3 linked regions of the Tribolium castaneum genome follow. The protein of the gene in region 1 binds, or shares a complex with, the protein of each later gene. Links are inferred from orthologs where the notes say so. Each region holds a gene or a part of one and is shown on either strand. Other genes may lie near its edges. The genes, in order: fl(2)d-associated complex component, vir and Mettl3.

Region 1 (6,841 bases):
AACTCACTGAATACGAAGTTTTATTACTCGAATGTTTCCTGTTGTATTCCTATATTGTAACCGATCTATAGATTTAAATACATGTATTTCGACTATCATGGGATTTTTTTTCAATTCTTAAGAAAACAAATCGAAAAATAAAAAACTGTTTATTTTTGAAAAATACTGTTTTACAAACAAGAAAATAAATGAGTACTTTCACAACCCAGTAATGCACTCGTACCTAATATACCGGGTCATACCACATGATTGTTTGATTGGCAATAACCAATGCTGCCAACTCAAATTTTCCCAAAACTACTAGTGGACGTGTAGAGATTCCACGAATAGATGACCAGTCTTTAATTTATTTTGGAATTTTCGTGTTGCAATTTCCATGTAAAATAACAGCGGGGTGTTGACACTTGAAATAAAAATCAAAAACATCACGGTAGCCATGCTCTCGCCACCAGACGCACAATTGGCGATTGAAACCACAATTTATGGTTTGAATCAAATCAGGATATTCAAACCCTATCAAAGTATAAAAATCCTGGTCACCCAAATGACCTCGAAATTTGTATTTGGACGTGAGATATTGCACAGTTTCATTCCTGATAATTTGGGAATATTCCTTTGATTTTCTTATTGCACTTAAATTAATCAAAACAACACCGGAATTATAGCCCTGGAAGCCACGAGGATGCTGCATATTGCTCGATATCGCCTTGGAATGATAATATTCTCCGAATGTTGAGTTCTTTTTCACTTTATAGGTTTGGAGGACGTGACGGTAGACTGGAGTCAGCTCGGGGGCCAAACCAAAAAGCGCAGTTGGCTTAAACCTATCAAACAGTTGAATTAAATTCCGATCAAAGTGATCTATGACTTCATGTCAGTCACAGGTCACTTTGACCAGAATAAGAAATTTCATAAACTCACTTGTCAAACTCCTCAAACACTAATCGAATATCCTTCTTAAAGTATAAATCACAGTCTAGTAGAAGGGCAGTTCGCTGGGAAGGTGGGGCTATCCGATACAGCCCCAAAGAAATATAGAAAAGTGCGTCGCTGTAGTAAGTACCTGAAGTCAAAACTAGTAATAGTGCAATTAAAAAGTAAGCCTTTTTACCCGGTTTTGAACTAAAATGAGGGGTCATAACGTCGACAATATCACTAATCGCTCTTGCACACGCTTCAACATCATAAAATTTATAAAATATTGCTTTATTCGAATGCGACACCACATCTGATATTTCACCTACTGCTAATTGCTTTGAGCTATTATCAACAATAATATGGAACTTTAAAGGAACAGAACTTATGTTTAAAATATTCTCCAACAAGTTGTGGAATTTATATCTTAACGGCGACCTTTGAGAGACTTTAGTAAATATCAACCAGACATTGTATTCTTTAGGCTTTTTGAATGGCAACAAAAATGTTGCATCGTTAGCAGAACCATCGGAATTGTAATGAAAAAACGTAAAATAAACAACTAATAACGCAGCAATTAAAATTCCAAGTTTTAACAAAAATCGTAGTTTAGGTTTTTTGGGGGCGTACATCGTTAATCATTTCTCTGTTTGTCGCAGGAATTGAACATTTTTTAAGTGTTACATTTCTATTTTTCCTTTACACAATAACACAACACAAACAACTGTCAACATAACCTCTCTTTTTGTTTGAAGACCACATTACGAATTTTGATTAATTTAATTAAATGTGCCTTTATCACTGATTGAACTAAAAATGCGAAAGCTGCTTAATGGAAAATTGGTCTTTAAACAGTGCTTTTAATATTTTTGCTCCTGTTGAAATGTTGGCCGCGACGCTACTGACTTTTTGTCAATAAATAAAAACAATTTGAAACAGACCAAAACTACGAAATTAATATCTAAATCATTCGCAAGTGGGGCATAATCAAAAATATATCATAATAAAGTGTACATTATCGACAGATTTTGAGTTTTAAAATTTTTGTTCCCGTAAAATTTCAGGTTGAGACCGCCACTGGTGTTGTCTGTTAAATGTCAAAAAACTATCACCTGTCAAGTGGCTACATTTTTGCAAAACAAATCGTTCCAGTTTTTTGGGAATTGGCTAAAATCTCGTTTGATTGATCAAAAAAGTGTCCATCGGGCGTTTGCAAGTCGAAATTGTGTTTTTTGGGCGCCATCTGTGCGGCATGATGTAAGGAGGCCCCTAGCCGATAAGCCCACAGTCTCCCATGCCGGCAACGTCAAACGTAAATATGGTAGCGTCAAGTGCTTCGCAATTTTTCCTCCTCACCTCGCGAACTCTGAGTGAAAATGTCTAAACAGGTCAAGCGCAAAATAACCGTGAACCTAACTCCGAAAAGCAAAGAAGTCTCGAAGCCTCGCCCCAGCGTGTTCGAGCGTCTGGGCACCAAAGCCAGCACCAGCCAGGACTTTTGCCACCACTGGGCCCAGAGCGGCACCTGCCCCTACGGAAAAGGCTGCAAGTACTCCTCCACCCACACCCTGATCAGCCCCTCGAAACGGGCGGCCAAGACCCAGCGCAAGGACAATGCAAATAAACGGGTCCATCCCGGAAACCCAGACGAGGATTGGGACCACTGGGACCCGGAGGAACTAGCCGACGCCGACCCTGATGATCTAGAAAAGCGCCGGCAAGAACTGCAAAGAGAACTCGAACTACAAATGAAAATGGAGAACAAAGCCCGGAAAAAGGACAAGAAAACCAAGAAGGAGAGCAGCCCCTCGACCGAAAGCTCGTCATCATCCTCGGACTCGTCCTCCTCAAGTGACGACTCCACCTCCAGCAGCTCCTCGTCCATAGAAACGCGTCGGAAGAAGAGTAAAAAAACCAAAACCAAACGCGACTCCTCCTCATCCTCATCGGAGCGCCCCCCGAAAAAGAAACCAAAAACGAAACGAACATCCTCAAAATCGTCACAACGCACCGACAAAACTAAAAAAACAACTAAAACAGCCCCAAAAGCCAAGTCTCCAACACCGCAACGCAGTCGGAAACAGTCGCAAACACCGCCCCCCAAAATCAAGCCGGGGCTCCCCCCAGCAAAGTCCCCAAGGCCCACGAGTCGGTCAAGCGACCGTAAGGAGAAACACCACACGCCCTCTCCCAAACCTAAAGAAAAGGAGAAGGAGAAAGAAAAAGAGAAAGAACGGGAAAAGGAGAAGGAACGGGAGAGGGAAAAGGAAAGAGAGCGGGAGCGGGAGAAGGAACGCGAACGCGAAAAGGAGAAGGAAAGGAACAAGAAAGATAGGGAGAAGGATGACCATAAAAAGAAAGAGTCAAGGTCGCCGAAACGGGACAGCAGGTCGACGAAAGACACTAAGAAGAGGGATACTCCAGATTCGTCGCATTCAAGGGATAAGAAGGGCTCACCAAGTCGGTCTAAAGGTAGCACGGGGAGCAGTCGAAGGGATCACAAGGGGACGCCGCCCAAGGAGGAGAGAAGTCGGGATAAAAAGGACGATAAGGATAGGTAAGAAACGAACTGTTTTTTAAACAATAAATCATAAAAGCGTAAGTTTTTTTAAAATTTTGTTAGAACTGTCTTCATTGAAGATACGCTTTTAGCAGATTCCCCCTTGCATTGCACTGTATATTGTATATGCGAGAAAGAAGTTCAAAGCAATGTTAGTTATGTATTATGTTTCTTTTAAATAGCACTTTCTATTTTTTGTTTATCACTGCTTTCGTATTCATCAAAAGACGAAAATCTTTCATTTAATGTTTCATTTTCACTTTATTTTCTTCAACTTTTACATATTATTATTTTTATTTTTAGAAATTCTAGCTTTGATTTAATGTTTCCAAAAATCTCACATTTAAATGTTTCTTTTGACCTTCCTGTGGAGTGTAATCTCAAATTCAAAGTTTCCTCTATCTTGAACTGCTCAGAGATTTTACACGTACAGAGTGTCTCAAAATTGGCGAATCCATAGTTCAGAGCATTGTAGAGAATCACTTCAGAAGTCTAAATTTAGAAGAAGAAAAAAAATATTCGGGGCTTTCCCACAAAGATGGGTTTGAAGATCACTCTTTAAATTGCGTTTTTTTTTTAAATGCAGGCTAAAAGTTTTAGTGTTGGTATTTATGGTACCTATGATTGTGGAAAATAATAAAATAAAACAATTTCCCAAAAGTTAGCTTTATTTTGGAGTAAATAAATCTAGAATGCTTCAATTTGATACTGCCAAATTTATTGAACCCTTACCTAAATCATTGTCTACTGAACTATCCACCTTTTCAGTTTTTTTTGAAATTCTAACAATTTTGAAGATGTTTTCACCTTTTAAATACATACTTGTTTGGCTAACATAATTTTTGATTTTATCTAAAAGTTTTGATGGATGGTATCACTGTTAACTTAAGTTTTTTTTAGTGTTGTTATAACTAGCTTAAAAATTGTGAAGTACATTTCCAATTAATAAGTTAAATGAAGCCGTTTCAGAATTTTATAGGTATACTTAGGTTTCACAGTTAGCTTAACTTTGCAATCATTAACTATTATTTATATTAACTAAATACTATGCTACTATTAATAATAAAAACAATTATGAAGTTCTTTACAATTAAAAAAAAACACAGAAAAAAACGTAAGCAAAAAAAAGTAAAAAATGAAGCTCTTGGGATTGGAAATAAAAATTAAAGAACAAAGGTCATAAACCTGACAGAATGCTCTGTGATTGGTAATCAGCATTTACGTTTTATGCAAAAAAATCTTTGTTTTCTAAAACATTTCTTTCATTAATATCTTCTTTCAATGTATTTTTTGTAATTTTAAATCTTTGAAAAAACTTTAAATTGTTAAGGCAGTATTTTTTCTAATTTTTTTCCAATTTTCTTATTCTGGTTTTTTACGAACAACGTGTTTTACTCAGTTTTGTTCGTTGATGTACCTAAGATATTTTTGAATTTTTTTCCATAATTAATGAGTACTGGCACAATAAAATTTTAGTGAAGTGTTATTTCACTTATTTCTTCGCAAAGTTTCACCTTCCTCACATATCAACTCGATCGGATTAAAGTTGCAATGATTGGGGAAAAAAAAACTTTCTTAAAAAAATGGAAATTTTTGAATTTCTTCTTTTTGGAAAATTTATTCGATGTTATTTCGTTTTTGCCGAATGGTGATTTGCAGTGTCCATTACAATTACATTATTTGTTGGAAGAATGGGGAGTAATTTTTCTAAAAACCATTTCAAAGTGTAACATATTTTTTTGGTAATCCACGTTTGCTTTATTTAGCAGAAATTTTATTTTAAAATTTTATTATAAAATAAAAAATAAACAACAACTACAATAACAGTAAATAATAATAAAACAATAACTGTTATTATTCCTTTAGTATTTCTACTCCTTTGCATGTGATTAATTTTTTGCTACACAGTGTCGAACTTTATGATAGTAATTTTTTTCTTAAACTTAATTTTTACGTCTATTTAACTTGAGTGATATTTTATCTGGTAACACAAACTTTTCTTCACAATTTATTGTCGCTGAAACAATTTTTAAATGATAAATATGAGTATTATATTTATCACCTACCTTTGAAATTACATACTTTTTAACAATTGATTCTGACTATTTGAAAAATGATGGGTAGACGTGAGAGAAATTATATAATACCGAGTAATCATTTTAGAATTTATCAAGAAGCATGGAACTCACCCAATGATAAATAACTCACAATCAAAAATGACAAAGCTTAGACAATTTCTTAGGTTGTACGTAATCCGCTAGAGTTTTGTTCGTTTGAATTCGCTATTTTTAAAGTTTGTTTAACTTTGTTAATATTTTATTTCTTCGTCTTTCAGACCTCGCGCCAAGGACCGTCCGAGCGACGACAAATCGCGCAAAGACAAGCGAGATTCGCGCGATCGTGAACGTGAACGTGAGCGTGAACGTCGTCTTGCGCGTGAAGAACGTGAAGCAGCGCGTGAAAAAGAACGCGAAGAAGCACTGGCCCGTTGCCAGGAGCGTCAGCGTGAACGTGAACGTCTCAAGGAGCTCGCAAAGAAAGAGGAAGAAAGGAGAGGACGTGAACGAAGTCGACGTGAAGATCGAGGACTTGATAAACCTTCAAGTGATAGAGTCGAACGCTTATTACCATTGCCTGAAGATCGAGTGCCTCCGAGTCGTAAACATTCGAGCGATCGTCGGGAAAGAGACCGAAGGGAACGCACCCCTGAACGAAGAAAATCGGTTGAGCGCAGGGATGAAAAAGATCGAGGGTATGAGCGGAGTTACGAACGTTCGAGTGATCGTAACTATGATAGGGAGTCACGGGATCGGGACCGGGATTATGGGGCGATCCCAGCGAGGTTACGCGACAGTGAGAGAAGGATTGAGGATAAGGACTATGATAGTCCGTATGATAGAGCGAGACATGATGATCGCAGGTATCTCGATATTGATTATAATGAGAATTCGAGAGAGGAGAGATTGCCGGAATATCCCGAAGACCGACGGTCTAGGCGGGATTTGTGGGATGGAGGACGGGATGAAAGGGATTTAGATTTGGAACATCGGAGATATGCGAGAGAGGATTCAAGGCCGCCAGGTTCTCTCAAAGGAAGGGATTGGGAAACGGATTATCCGGATCATGATTGGGATCGGGCGAGGCGTCCAATAGATTGGGAAGGAAGGGAAAATTGGGATGCTGCCGACCATAAACATTTGACTGAGGAAGATTGGAGACTGTATAATTGGGCAGGAGAGGATCGAAGACGATGGCCGGCTGAGTGGAGGGAGAGGTCGAGGCCAAGAAGCTCAACCTCTCACAGGGATGGTAAGAGAAATTTTTATTTTTTTATTAGGACACAATCGCGGTGTTCAATGCTATAAC
Region 2 (6,918 bases), on another chromosome or scaffold:
GGTGATAACTTTTGAATTATATCGAAAACAGTAACAAAGTTTCAGTAATTACACATTTAATTGATATTTAATGAATTGTTCAACAATTTTGCGTGTATAGTGTTAATTGCTTACATTAGAGAAAATCACTTTAAAAGTGTATGATGGTAAATACTAGCTCTGACTTTGGTTCTGCGGTTTTTCGTGGTATAAAGTGTTTACTGTTGGAATTTGAAAGTGGATAAAAAGTGAAAAAGATTTAAATTTTGATTACAAAGTCTTATTAAACAGTTGTGTAATTAAAGACTATAAGTGATAGATTACAGCGAGCACATGTTGGGCTCAAGAAACCAATAAATTAGTGAAGTGTCTGAATTTTAGGTAGAATTTTTCCACTGAAAAAATCATGAAATACTTCTGTAAATCTACAAAACTACATTTAAGATTAACAACTGCTGATACATTTAAACGTAAATTATGCCAAAAGGTAGGCTTTTCACTGTCTTTGTAATAATTTTCCAATAAAGAAAGTGAACCAAACAGTCATTCGTTATTCGTGTTTTCCTCGTCATCTCTAATTTGTCAACATTCGTTTCTTACACCAAAGATACAATAGTCATTCCGCATAAGCATTGTAATAATTGTGAAGCCTCAAAATTCGTACAACGCTCAAAACATCTAAATAAACATTTTCCCGCCATTTATGGTTACTGTTTTCGACCTAGCTCAGTGGCGCCCCCAACGGTAATTTTACTTCCGAATATAATTTGATCAACAATAAAAATAAATTATTTTTGTAACGGTTTCCCAGGAAATAATTCCCAGTGTTGGCACATCTACAAATTGTGATTTTTTGACAAATTTAATTTTTTTAATTAAAAAAACTACTAAAGTATGATAGTAAATTTTAATATAATTATCCATCATTGTGCTAGGGATCGATTAATTATTATGAAACATAGCAACTTTAAAAAATAATGAACAGTGAAGAGATTAACAAAAGTTTTTAGCTGAAGATTTTCTAAAACATGACTTTAGGATTTTTTTCAAGATTTTTCCCGAAATCTACCCATGCTTCTCAACAACGTAACAGTGAGTTGGTGTGCCAGTTTTTGAACTCCCAGTATTTAGGAAAAATTTTTGAACTTTGGGCATTTAAATTTTGAAAACGACGAAAATACTAAAATAAAATACTTAATAATAAGTAAATTAGTAACGTTATGGTCGGCATTTTGAGGGTTATTTCGTAAAAAGAAAACAGACTCTCACTTATAAACGAGTTAAATTTAATGTAGCAGACCAAAAGAACGCCATTTTCGACACTCAGTAGAAATTTTTCGCCACATTAGAGGGATTATTCAGTAAAGTAAATAAGTTTTTAGCTCAAAATAACGTAATTCGCGACATAATTAACTAATTTTTCTGTCTGTTTTAACGCTGTTTCACAAAAAAAAGTTAGCAGTAAGCTAAAAATCATCCTTAGTAGGTCAAAACACTGACTTTCGTCATTTTTGGCGAAATATCGTAAAATGAGCTTATTACTCAAAAATATGATCTAATGAAAAAGACGAAAATAATGTCGTTGTCAACCCTTCCTTCGTGATTTTTAATACCATTTTGGGCTGAAAAACGTACTAACAAGCTCCATCTCCAAGTGAAGTTTTATCTAATTTGCTATGTTTATCTCATAAAAACACAAAAACCTCCTCAAAACTGCAGAAGCTGTCATGGTCACTGTTAATGTTTACAGCAAGTGGCCCTACACAGAGCGTCACAGTTCGTGCATTACATATTGAGATATTATTGTCTTTAGAATCCCTTACTGCAATCATCAACAATGGGCATGATAATCATTGCGGTTTTAGGCCCCAAAATTTGGGGAGGATTTTATCTTGTTGTGGTAACAAATTAAATAGAACTTAATTTTTGGAATTATTTGAACAAAAAAATATGTTTGAGCATTTGAAAAAGACAAAAATACAGGCTTAGTAGATGAAGGGGCAATGTAACTTTTTTTGAAAATTTTTGAATTTTGAAAATTTTACAAATATAGACTATTTTAATATCGTTTAATTAAAATATGCTTCACACATTCGTATTTTTCTGTAAAATTTCTTGTAAAAGTTAGTTGTTGCAAATTGGTTGAAGGGAGTATATACAATTAATTTGGTATTGTTCACTTACGGATCTAACTGCACACTATAAAAATAAATTAGTCTTATGTATGTTTTTTCCATTTCAAAAAAGATCATGCTCAAAATTTATGTACCTATAAAATAGTGTAACGTACACATTTAACTTAATTTTAACTGAAACTAACTATTTTCTTGTTTAACAAATACATACATGTTTAATAATAAATAATGATATATATATAATTTAGTAAAACCTAGCTAACATAACTGCAAATCTAATAAAGAATTTTTTCGAAATGAAACTTTGAAAGCACGTAAATAATTGTGTAAGTCAAAAAATCACAAATACATAGCCCCTTCAATTATTAAACTAGTTACGTCATTATTCGAGTTTTCGAGGGATTGCACAAATTAATTTCTCAATCTTATAATTTTAAAATTTTGCGGCGAATTAGAGAGAAGTTTCGCATAATACGTGAGTTTACAACTCAAAAGCACATAATTCTCGACTTAATTTGATAATTTTTTCGACGTGTTTCAATAAAATCATTCTGAACAGGACAAAAGAAGGACGATTTTGAGCTAAATTACAGTCAACTTAACTTAAATTAACGCTACAATAATTATTTTACTTTCAACCATTATTTGTGATTTTTACCTGTTCTATGGAATGCATGCAAAATACTACCTGAAATAACTAAACTTTTGGCTAGAAGTCATACCTTCTAACTTTGATCAGAACTTCATGAGAAAAGTAGGTTTTTCCCTTTTTTTTTTTTTAAATAAAAAAATAGTCACTTATAAAACGAGCTTTTAGCAAATTGGCTCAAAATAACATTTAAAAATAAAATTTTGGAAATTTTTAAGATGACAACAACAAAACTTGCTCTAAAAACTACCTCTTCAGTCTTCACCTGGTTTTCAATTCACGAACCGCAATTGCGTTTTGGGACCTACCTGATATCCCTCCCTGGTCCGTTCCCTGTCTCTATCCCGCTCTCTATCCCTGTCATTTTCGCCACTTCTGGGTCTCACCTTCGTGTCCCAATCTCCCTCAGGAGGGTGATGGTAACTCCTAGGGTCCTTAGGAACATCACTATAATACTCGTTGTATTCCTGAGGGTAATTCTCAGGCTGATTATAGCCCTGCTGATACGGGGCGGCATTCTGATTATATTCAATTGGAACACTTGTGATATTTTCCTGACTCCACTCATTTTCAATATTATTTCCTGAAATTATCTGCTGGGCGTCTGCTATAGTATTGGGCTGCGTTGGTAAAGCCGGATTCACAACAGGTTGAATAATTTGTTCAGTAATGTTATTAGTCAAAGTACCATAAACCGCTAGGGTGATGGTCGTGTACCACCCCCTCAAAACCAACCCATCTGTGGGTATTTTTCTAACAGTATCTTCCGGAACGCAGTTCAAATTGATACAACCGTTTTGATTATACTCGAACCCCCCTAAACTCTCAAAAGTACTCGCACCAGGCTTCCCCAAATCATTTACAAAAAACTCGATTTGAAACTGACTGGGGTTTGTAGCCCCCAGGCGGACGCCACCGGGGAAATCCGCTTGGACCCGAGCCCCCAGAGGAATAATACGAACTTCGGTTACATACACGGGTTTGGGGAACTGCACCAGATCCAAGTTTAGCTCCTAATTTACGAAACTCGTAAGCGAGGAAACAAAAGGCCGAAAACTTACCTCGGTGTTGTCGTGGGCAAAAGTGTCGAAAAAGAGCAATTCGACCACGTCTGACATTTTGGAAATGTTAGTTTTCCATATTTTTCACAATTACACGTAAAAACCACCGATAGTTTACAAAATTCGGAGGAAAAATGTGGTTAGCACACACAATAACAAACTTTTAGGTTATGTTTTGGAGACAGGTGCACCAACTTAACGTCATTTGAAAATGTAAATATACAAAAAACTTCTAATTCTATGAGCTTTCTACCGTTTATTCGCACTGTTTGTGTTATTTTCAATATTTAGCTTATTAATTTAGTCATATTTTAATAATACAGAGACGTTTATATAATTTATGTTATAGGTTATGAGATGTTTGGCTAAAAACAACCATCACATTTTTTTCATCAACGAACATGTCCAAAGCTTTAGGCACCGCTCTCGTGGGTTAGTTTCACCCCCTGTACCACGTACATAGTTAATACAGTGTTTAAGGGGGCGGTACGGGCTTCATAGGAAGTCACTTATGTAATGCTTTGAAGTCACAAGGGTATGGCGTTACCGTCATTTCCCGGATGCCGGGTCCCCAACGCATGACCTGGAACGACTTGAACCACGTCGGACTTCCCGAAGGAACAACAGCTGTGATTAATTTAGCTGGACAAAATGTCCTAGACATGAAACAGCGCTGGAACGCCGGCTTTAAACAAAACGTCTTCAACTCGAGAGTCAACACCACCTCATCCCTAGCTAAAGCAATTTCAAACGCGCAAAACAAACCCTCAGTTTTTGTGAGCATATCAGGAGTTGGAATTTACAAAGCAGATAAAGTCAGAGAATATGATGAAGCGAGTGTAGAACCCGAGTTTGATTTTTTCTCACGGCTTTGTCATGAATGGGAAAAGGCCGCCAAGCTTCCAAAAGGGCCTACTAGGCAAGTGACGATCCGTAGCGGCGTTGTTTTGGGGAGAAACGGAGGGATGATCAAACAGCTCTATTTGCCGTTCTTTTGTGGACTGGGGGGCCCTGTCATGCCAGGTGATCAGTACTTACCGTGGATACACATTGAAGATCTTACCGGACTGATTTTATTTGCACTCAAAAATGATAAAGTTGAAGGGACCCTGAATGGAGTGGCTCCACAAAATGTCACAAACAAGGAATTTTCAGACGTATGGCTTTGCAATTTTGGGTAAGTAATTTATTGAGTTTTTCAGGCTTTTGCTAAAGCTCTGAGACGTCCGGCTTTTTTTCCCGTCCCTAAGTTCGTCTTGAATGTTCTGCTTAGTGAAGAAAGGGCTAATATGCTGACTGAGGGACAAAAAGTCTTGCCAAAGAGGACAATGTCGTTAGGGTTTCAGTATAAATATCCTGATATTGCGTCAGCATGCCAGCAAGTTGTTACAAAAGAGTGAAACTTATTTATTGAAATGTTACAAAAATTAATAAAAAATTACAATTTAAGTGCCGTTATGAAATTTTCTCCCAACACGTATAAACAAGTATTTGAAGCATAAATCCCTAAAATTTCCTCGTTTGAAGGTAGACTGAAGACTTGTTGCTGTGCTAATGCGTTTACTCTTTTCCCAGTCGTTCTATTCCTTAACTGATTCAAACCGATGCTTTTATTTTGGCAATAAATAAAAATGTGTTTGGTCGATTCGCAAATAGCGGCGTAACTCAGGTCAGGAGAGGCCACAAAAAACTTCATTTGTTGTTTTGACGCCTAGAAAACCAAATCAGAAACATTATTCAAAGTCGGAGTACTAAAACTACAAGGCGAACCGAAATCAAAATCACCTAATTTTCTATAGCTAAAAAATTATGAATTATGAAATATATTATTATGAAATTATATTATTAGAAAACACCAACAAATTAAAAATTATTGCCCTGAAGAGCATCTCAGATGCAAAAACTAACGAGAAAACGTCGAGAATAAGTACTGTAAAAATGCTGTAATTGTAAAGAATCAAATTTCCTTTGAAAATTGCGCAACACCGAACACTCTATCTTCGACGGTTTTGTTCTTCCATTAAAGGTAGAGGCATTTGTGCGGAACCTTTTTTAAGAAAATTAATTCCATATTTTTATTAACTTCCAAATAAGAGCTAGAGAGTCAGAACGGATGCTCAAACATAAAAATATAGAAAATCAAGAATTAGATGAAAAAATTAAGGCAACAGATAAAATATTAATAATACTCCCTCCGTTCCATAACAAGTGTCCGATTTAGTTAATTAATACATTATTGAATAATGAAATTAAATGCTCAAAGATGTTATTTATTTAAATTAAGCATGGAAGGAAAAAGTAAAACTTGGAGCAGTTGCAATTTTTAAGGCTAATAATTATTATAGTGTTCTTGGCAAAAACTAGGTACCCTAAAAATGAAGAAAAAATACATTTATTAGTATCCGGCATCAAGGATTCTGCAATCTTTGCTCAAGTCCTTCCACAAAACTATAGACATTAAGCACATTAGTGATATATATTTTCATGTATCTTTAAAAACTTTTAATCGTATTTGGAATTTCAAATGCTTTCCTTATCCCTTTGCATATTTTTTATGAAACTGGATACTTATTTTAGAATGGGGTTACAAGTTAATTACGAGAGAATAAAAAAAATGTGTAAAAAAACAAAAATATCCTAATATATCTGAATCCGAGAATGAAGATGTACACAATTACGTGTCTGACAAATCGCTTACACAAATTTATGAGTTTATGACGAATCAAAAGAAAATGAACTTAAAACGATGTATTCTAAAAACCAAAACAAATTAGAAAAACAATGCAGTGCAATGACTGAATTAAAAAAACAGTGTAAGCACCTACAGAGTAAATTTCGGAATTTTTTTATTTAAAAAAATGCAAAAACAGGTAACTTTGCATTTTAACTGAGCTCAAATTTCACTGAACTAGATCAGTTTTGGCGGCCATTGTACCGCCACCATGACGTCATTATATTTTTTTTTTAAATGAAACGGTACCGTTTTTATAATTAGAAGCTCTACTAATAGGCGTTTACAACTGTGCTACTTATTTTGAATATGAGTAAACCAAACGCGGAAAAAAATTTTGGAATTCTAAAATAAAAGCTAAAA
Region 3 (7,103 bases), on another chromosome or scaffold:
AAAGGCCCAGCTCTTAATGACCCTCAAGAGCGGGAGTTTAAGGAATTTTGGGGCGATTTGGCCACTGATCGGCGTTTCAAGGACGGTTCTGTGTGTGTTGCTGTTTATTTCGAGACCCAAACAATCAAACAAAGGCGCGAAATAATTAAAACTATTGTTGATTGGGTCATTTGTAAAAAACTGGGCTTGGAGTATTCGCTTCATTACGACGAGTTTGAAGAGCTATTGGTTAATAAGAAAGTGACCGCCCCCTACCCCACCGCAACCAATGAGGATGGCTGTGTGCGAGCAATCGCAGCGAGTGACGAATTAGGCAAAAAATTGCGAAGTCTCGAAATGCCGTTGGCAATCACCGGAGTGCAGGGAATCACCGATGTTTTCAGTTTCACCGATGTATTCCCGCCAATTTCGACCAATTACAGGAGCGGAAGTTTAGTAACTCCGCCCCTGGAAAATAATATAGTCCTCAACGAGAAAAAACGCGGGATTGTGCCAAGATACGTCAAACCAATCGAGTGTGTCTTGCAATTAGGTAATTAACAATTGGTTAAACCACAGTTTGGTAATTAATTTACAGAACACAGCTCAAAATGGCCGAAGAACTTGACCGCCATTCGACATATGAAAACCGCCTTCTATTTAGAAATCGCCAAACAATTGGACAAGAAGCACAAGATCGTAGCAAGCGTCAAGCCGGAATTTCTCGACGTTTTGTACGAAGGTTACGTCTTCAGGTACCGTCTGTACCTGCCCCGGGAGGTGGGGCTTCTGAAGCGCGAGTCGACCAATAACGGCGTGACAACGTACAAGGACACGCCCATGAGCCGGGACATCGAATTGCAATTGGGGATTTTGCCACGTGTTACGGGCGCTCTTAAAGGCATCCAATCACAGTTTCCGAGCTTTGGACCTAGCACCGCCCTTATCAAACGGTGGCTAAGGTCACAACTCATTGACGACTACCACTTTCCCGACCACGTGATTAATTTACTCAACGCTTCGTTGTTTCTCAAGGGGGCTTCGGTGACCCCCCAAGTTGGCTTTTTGCGATTTTTGAAATTTGTTAGCGAGCTTCAGTGCGATATTCAGGCGGTTGTGGTCAATTTCAACAATGAGATTGCAAGTGAGACACTTGCAGAAATCGACTCGAAACTCCTCCAAAATCGCGAGGCTTTGCCCGATTTATTTATCGCAATGCCGTACGACGGCTGTGAGTCTGTTTTTACCAAAAGGGGGCCCTCGAAGTTGGTCTTGCGGAGGGTCAAACAACTGGCAAGTGAGTCTTTGAATTGTTTTGGGCAAATCATCAAAGGAGAGAGTTTTGGTTCAATTAAAAGCTTGTTTATTCCGAATCTTGAGGGGTACGATGTTATTATTCACTTGCGCCCCCTTTTGAACCCCGTACGACACGAACAAGTCACTGGGGACGAGTCCGAGGGGCAAATTGTTTTGGAGGAATTTAACAGAAACGAAAGCACGAAAATTCCAGTCACTGGCTTTAACCCAGTTCAGTTGTATTTGGCCGAACTGCGCAAACATTACGGCGATTTTGCCAATTTTTTCCACGATACGTACGGAGGTAATTTTATCGGGGTTTTGTGGATACCTAAAGCTTTGGAAAGTCGAGACTTCAAGGTGAGATTTTTAGATGTTTTTTGATTTATTACATTTATTTTTAGGTGTCTTATGCAAGCGGGAGGAAACTTGTGAATGGAAAATTGGAGCTGAACGTGGATGCGTTGATTGAAGACTTTTATATTGTGGGAAAAGGCTTAGTCAAGTCAATTGATAAGAAGAAATAAAAAATCAAACAATTACTCTTATTATTTCTAACCATTACAAACCTTACAAATTAGTTTTTTTGGGCCCTCACGTGCTCAATAACCAGTTTTTCGGTGCTATATAATTGACTTACGACCACCTGGAGATAATTACGTCAATTAACCCCTAAACGAATTAATTGTGAATACCTGTCTTTTAATTACATCTAAATTACGAACTCCTTCATCCATTTTTTGCCTAATCACGTCCTGGTCAGTCAATTGTCTATTTTCCCGAAAACTGTCCCTTATCTTCCTTAAGGCATAGTGTCTACAACCCCCAATGAAAAAATCGTTTGCAAAAACGCCCTTACCTGAAGTTATAAGCCGGAAACTTCTTCGACTCGCGAATCAGAGCTTTATACAACTGCAACGCCTGTCTTTTACTCATTTTGCCCCAATTTTACGAAACCGAAAGAACATAACCAAAGAGTTGAGGTTGTGTTAGTTAGCGTTAGCCGTAACCTCAAACATGTGTTAGTTGTGTTTTTTTGGCGGAAAATAGTCTTTTGAAATGTCGGACGCTTGGGAAGAGATCCAAGCTATCAAAAGCAAGCGGAACATCCTGCGCGAACGCCTGGAAAAGCGCAAGAAGGAGCGGCAGGACATCCTTGGTTCGAGTCTCAACTCGTCACCTGTGCACCTGTCCGACAGCCCCCATGCGGGTGGTGTTGGGGGCGAAGATGTTAAAAGACCAGAGGAGGGTGAAATCGATTTGGTGAAAATCGACCCAGAGCTGGAGAAAGAGTTGTTGAAGGCGCTGAGCGAAGTCACTCTTCAGATCCCCACAACTTCGACGGAATTGGTCGATTCGTTGAAATTGACTTTGAAGCGACATGCCTCACATAAGGAAGTTTGCAATTTGTTGCAAAAATTCTCAACTCAGAAGTTGATCACTATCAAGGATTTAGTCAAAGAGGGGAAGAACGTGGTCGAAGTGACTTTTATCGATGTGACTAAAGTTAACGCAATGATTGCGGAGTTTTTGCCTGAACGGGTGAGGGAATCCCTGAAGCGGAAGCGAAACGACTCGGAGAAAAACGAAGACGAAGAGAAGAGGAAAAAAGAGAAGAAGGAACCAAAAGCTGACATCATGGTAATTAACTGATTGATTCTGTCCTTTTAATTAATTAATTTCCCTAGTCTTTACTATCAATGCCCTCAACGAAAGAAAAAGAGAGTAAAAAACTGGGCGAAGAAATTCTAGATCTGTTGAGTAAACCAACGGCCAAAGAGCGTTCGCTGGCCGAGCGCTTCAGGTCTCAAGGGGGCAAACAACTGATGGAGTTTTGCCCCCATGGGACTCGCGCCGACTGCGAACGAAACGGAATCACAGACTGCAAAAAATTGCATTTTAAAAAAATCATACAAAAACACACTGACGAAGCTTTAGGGGATTGTTCCTTCCTTAACACTTGTTTCCACATGGACACTTGTAAATACGTCCACTATGAAGTCGATCGCTGTGGGCAAACGGAGGGCGTAGCCCCGGCCGCCACCGCCGTCTCAGTGGCCCCAAAAGAAAGCACTACCTTGTACCCCCCGCAGTGGGTGCAGTGCGACCTGCGCTATCTCGACATGACTGTCTTAGGTTTGTTTGTCGGTCTTAATAATATTTGCGTTTGGTCGTGACTTCCAAAATTTAAAATCTTGTGAAAAGCTGCCATAATACGTCAAATGAGCCCAGAATTCACTGGAACAAACCGTTTTGCTCTACGACTTTTAGCTTTTGAGTTATAAATTTTTTTGTTGTAGAATTAAAAATTCCTCTTGAAATGGCTACCTTCATTTTTCAGCTCAATTATGGCAAAACTATTCAAAAAAGTGGAACAATTTTGATGGAAATCAATGTAAAATAATCCGGGGAATCGATTGGTGACGAGAAAATCGCCAAATACCCAGTAGTTTTTAAGTTACGAATTTTTTTCATTTTATTTTTTTTTATTTTTTTTGCAATTATCTCGAAAACTGTCGGAGAACGATGATTTTTTTAAATAACTGTTTTTCCCCGACATTTCCGAAAATATTAATGGTTGAATTTAGGAAAATTCGCCGTGATAATGGCGGACCCCCCCTGGGACATCCACATGGAGCTGCCCTATGGGACCATGTCCGACGACGAGATGCGTCAGCTGGGGATCCCCCAGCTGCAAGACGAGGGCCTGATTTTCCTGTGGGTGACAGGCCGTGCCATGGAGCTGGGCCGCGAGTGCCTCCAATTGTGGGGCTACGAGCGCGTTGACGAAATAATCTGGGTGAAGACGAACCAATTGCAGCGCATTATCAGGACGGGGCGCACCGGCCATTGGCTGAACCACGGCAAGGAGCACTGTCTCGTGGGCATGAAGGGCAACCCCCAGAACCTCAACCGGGGACTAGACTCGGACGTGATCGTGGCCGAAGTGCGCGCCACGAGCCACAAACCGGACGAAATCTACGGAATGATCGAGCGACTCTCGCCCGGGACGCGCAAAATCGAGCTGTTCGGGCGCCCCCACAACATCCAGCCCAACTGGATCACTTTGGGGAACCAAGTGGACGGGATCAAGCTGGTCGACGCAGAACTGATCGAGAATTTCAAGAAACGCTACCCCACGGGGAACTGTATGGGGCCCCCCGGTGACACGACCCATTAATTTGTTTATGTTTTGGTGGAGTGGTGGCGACTTTTTGCCTTATTGACTGGTGGTTTAGTGTCTTTAATCGCGTGGAGTTGGGGGGGCATCAGCTGATTTTGACAGATGTCAGGTTTGACAAGATGGCGCTTGGAAGTTTTACGAGTTTTTAGACAAAGGATCGTTCGATTTAAGAGAAAAAGAATAAACAGTTTTGATTTGTTGCTTGTTGTGTATTATTGTTGATTAAAGACTGGTTTTTATTGATTGCGGAAAATGCTGACGCTCAACGTTGTTCCTGAACGTTCTTTGGGCTGTGAACAGTGGGAGTTTATTGTAGGTGGGTTTCCCTTTTCTCTATTATTTTTATTGCGCGTAACATGGTTGACATCGTTTTTGCGATGGGGCGATGTGACGGCCAACACTGAATGGAAATTTGACCCATTTTACGTAACGCTAATTGGTTGGCGACCTTCAAAATGTAATTTCGAATTTTCTCTTTTCAGGAATGCATTTTTCCCAGGCTATTGCAATTATTCAGTCCCAAGTGGGCAACATAAAGAATGTACAAGTCCTCTATAACGATACTGTAAGAAAGAGCGGCCCCAAACCACACACTCACTAACGATTTTTCAGAACCCTTTAGACATAGACCTCGTTCTTAATTTACCCCAGGACGGCATTAGATTATTTTTTGACCCCATTTCACAGCGGCTAAAAATAATCGAAATATACTGTATGAAATTAGTCAAGTTAAAATACTGGTAACGTTTTAGCCCTACGTTCTTTTTTCTCATTTGTTATTCCAGTAACCTCCCATTTAACTCGCCAGAAGTACTGCCATCAATCGAACAAATTGAACACTCATTCGGTGCCACTCATCCAGGAGTATATGATTCGGAGAAGGAGCTATTCATATTGAATTTTCGGGGACTTTCGTTCTATTTTCCAGTCGAATCAAAATTCCAGTCTGGAAACACCCATAATCTGGGTAAGCCGGTCCGGGGTAATATCCAGTGTCAAGTTTATTTGTTACGTGAAATAACAGGTTCTCTCCAATTCCCCCCAGGGAGTTCCCCGCTAGTGTCACGCATGACGATTTACTACGGCTCAAATATCGAGCAGGCCTGCGCCCCCGAACTGCCCCTGTCTTGTTACCACGGCCAATTGTACCTCCAAAAGGCCGAAATTTTGAGGGGCGAGTGCTACACCAGAGGAGTCAAGCTCAGCCTCCTTGCAGGTGTGTGTCAAACTAATCACGAAAATTGATTCTCTGGATGAATTATTGTAAACGGAATGTTCAATATTTTAGTTAACCGCACGGTTATTACCAATAAGAACAAATTAATTAGGCCGGTAAAAGAGATGAGGTTTAGTAAGTTTCAAACGATTTCGCGCTTTTTTCTTTATTATAACAAGGGGGACTGAAATATTAGGAGCATATGACAATTTTTTTTAATTAATTCTCAAAAATAATAAGCCGAAGAAATAAACTCATATTTTTTTTGTACGTAAATCGCCGCCTATTTTAGTCCTCTCTGATTCTAACGCTCTAATTTTGTGTTGTGTTAACCCTTTATTTTAACGCTTGACCCGCAAAAGTTGAATCATCGTTTGAATTAAGCCTATTTTAGGCTCAAACAACCGTCGAATGGACTCAAAAATCCAATTCGACCGTGAGATCCTCTTGGGGCACACGGCCCAAGACGTGGCCACGGCTTTAGGGGCCCCCAATGAAGTCTTCTATAAAAGTGAGGACAAAATGCGGATTCACACCCCCAACGCCCTGCGTCGCGACGCCGACACTAAGAGCGACTATTTCTTCAATTATTTCACGTTGGGATTGGTAATAGTTTCCTTTCCCGTGTAGGTGTCCCATACTTGATTTTTTTTCTCATCAAGGACGTCCTGTTCGATGCCCGTTCGCATTTGGTGAAAAAATTGGTCATGCATACGAATTATCCAGGCCATTACAATTTCAACATTTACATGAGATGCGAATTTAAGTTGGCGCTGAATGGCGCCGATATCGACGCCTACTGCCATTGGGACGATATCTGTAAACAACTGACGCCAAGTGAACGACCGGTTGTCTTAAATAGGGCTAGCTCCACTAATACGACCAATCCGTTCGGGAGCACCTTGTGCTATGGCTATCAGGATATCATCTTCGAGGTCAGTGGCAAAAAAATACTTATCAGGATAAATATTCTAACAAAATTATGTTGGTCAAAGTGGAACTTAAAAAATTGATATTCTGGAAAAATGCTTTACTAACTTTATATTGTTTCATATACAGGGTGATTCAAGAGCAAGAATAAAACATTAAAATATTAATAGTTTACAGCGCCTGATAGATAATTTTTGAGTTGTTCTTTTGTTTAGGTGATGCCCAACAACCTGATCGCCTCCTTGAGCGTGTACGGTGATGGAAGGCCGTACCAGAGCGAATCAGAGCATGCGTGACAGAGGCTCTCTGCCACTTACCTCATTCTGGCAAACAGGTACTGGCAACCGTAAGAATCTAATCCCCTACATCCCTAGTATACAACATGTACAGTTAACGTCAATATCTAGTAACGGATTTATAGCTTAATTGTAAGGTTAATTACTCTAGTTAATTGAAAAAATTAACCAAAAAAAATTCAAAAGTGTGATGAAAACCAAA

What was found.
Region 2: fl(2)d-associated complex component (region 1) and vir share a complex: the UniProt entries of both Drosophila melanogaster proteins name them as parts of the WMM complex. The link is inferred for Tribolium castaneum from reciprocal best matches to the Drosophila melanogaster genes Flacc and vir.
Region 3: fl(2)d-associated complex component (region 1) and Mettl3 share a complex: the UniProt entries of both Drosophila melanogaster proteins name them as parts of the WMM complex. The link is inferred for Tribolium castaneum from reciprocal best matches to the Drosophila melanogaster genes Flacc and Mettl3.

What each region holds. Positions count from the first base shown.
Region 1 is NC_087398.1:11,170,535-11,177,375, reverse strand, and holds the start of fl(2)d-associated complex component, read left to right. Parts: upstream 1-2,028; 5' UTR 2,029-2,291; coding exon 2,292-3,472; intron 3,473-5,810; coding exon 5,811-6,784; intron 6,785-6,841. Other genes in the region: Xxylt (xyloside xylosyltransferase 1), read right to left, coding at 347-824, 922-1,063, 1,112-1,547. UniProt on the Drosophila melanogaster protein: Associated component of the WMM complex, a complex that mediates N6-methyladenosine (m6A) methylation of mRNAs, a modification that plays a role in the efficiency of mRNA splicing and is required for sex determination.
Region 2 is NC_087394.1:22,053,652-22,060,569, reverse strand, and holds the start of vir (protein virilizer), read right to left. Parts: upstream 3,966-6,918; 5' UTR 3,882-3,965; coding exon 3,825-3,881; intron 3,777-3,824; coding exon 3,072-3,776; intron 1-3,071. Other genes in the region: epimerase family protein SDR39U1, read left to right, coding at 4,226-4,256, 4,305-4,981, 5,027-5,224; nudC domain-containing protein 1, read right to left, coding at 5,263-5,535. UniProt on the Drosophila melanogaster protein: Associated component of the WMM complex, a complex that mediates N6-methyladenosine (m6A) methylation of mRNAs, a modification that plays a role in the efficiency of mRNA splicing and is required for sex determination.
Region 3 is NC_087396.1:23,066,356-23,073,458, forward strand, and holds Mettl3 (N6-adenosine-methyltransferase catalytic subunit), read left to right. Parts: upstream 1-2,334; coding exon 2,335-2,916; intron 2,917-2,963; coding exon 2,964-3,411; intron 3,412-3,863; coding exon 3,864-4,456; 3' UTR 4,457-4,660; downstream 4,661-7,103. Other genes in the region: Mat89Ba (nucleolar protein 6), read left to right, coding at 1-532, 578-1,635, 1,680-1,802; protein bcn92, read right to left, coding at 1,853-1,921, 1,971-2,091, 2,135-2,211; PHAF1 protein CG7083, read left to right, coding at 4,712-4,775, 4,942-5,024, 5,072-5,199, 5,245-5,426, 5,484-5,675, 5,748-5,810, 6,070-6,281, 6,338-6,610 and 1 more. UniProt on the Drosophila melanogaster protein: Catalytic component of the WMM complex, a complex that mediates N6-methyladenosine (m6A) methylation of mRNAs, a modification that plays a role in the efficiency of mRNA splicing and is required for sex determination.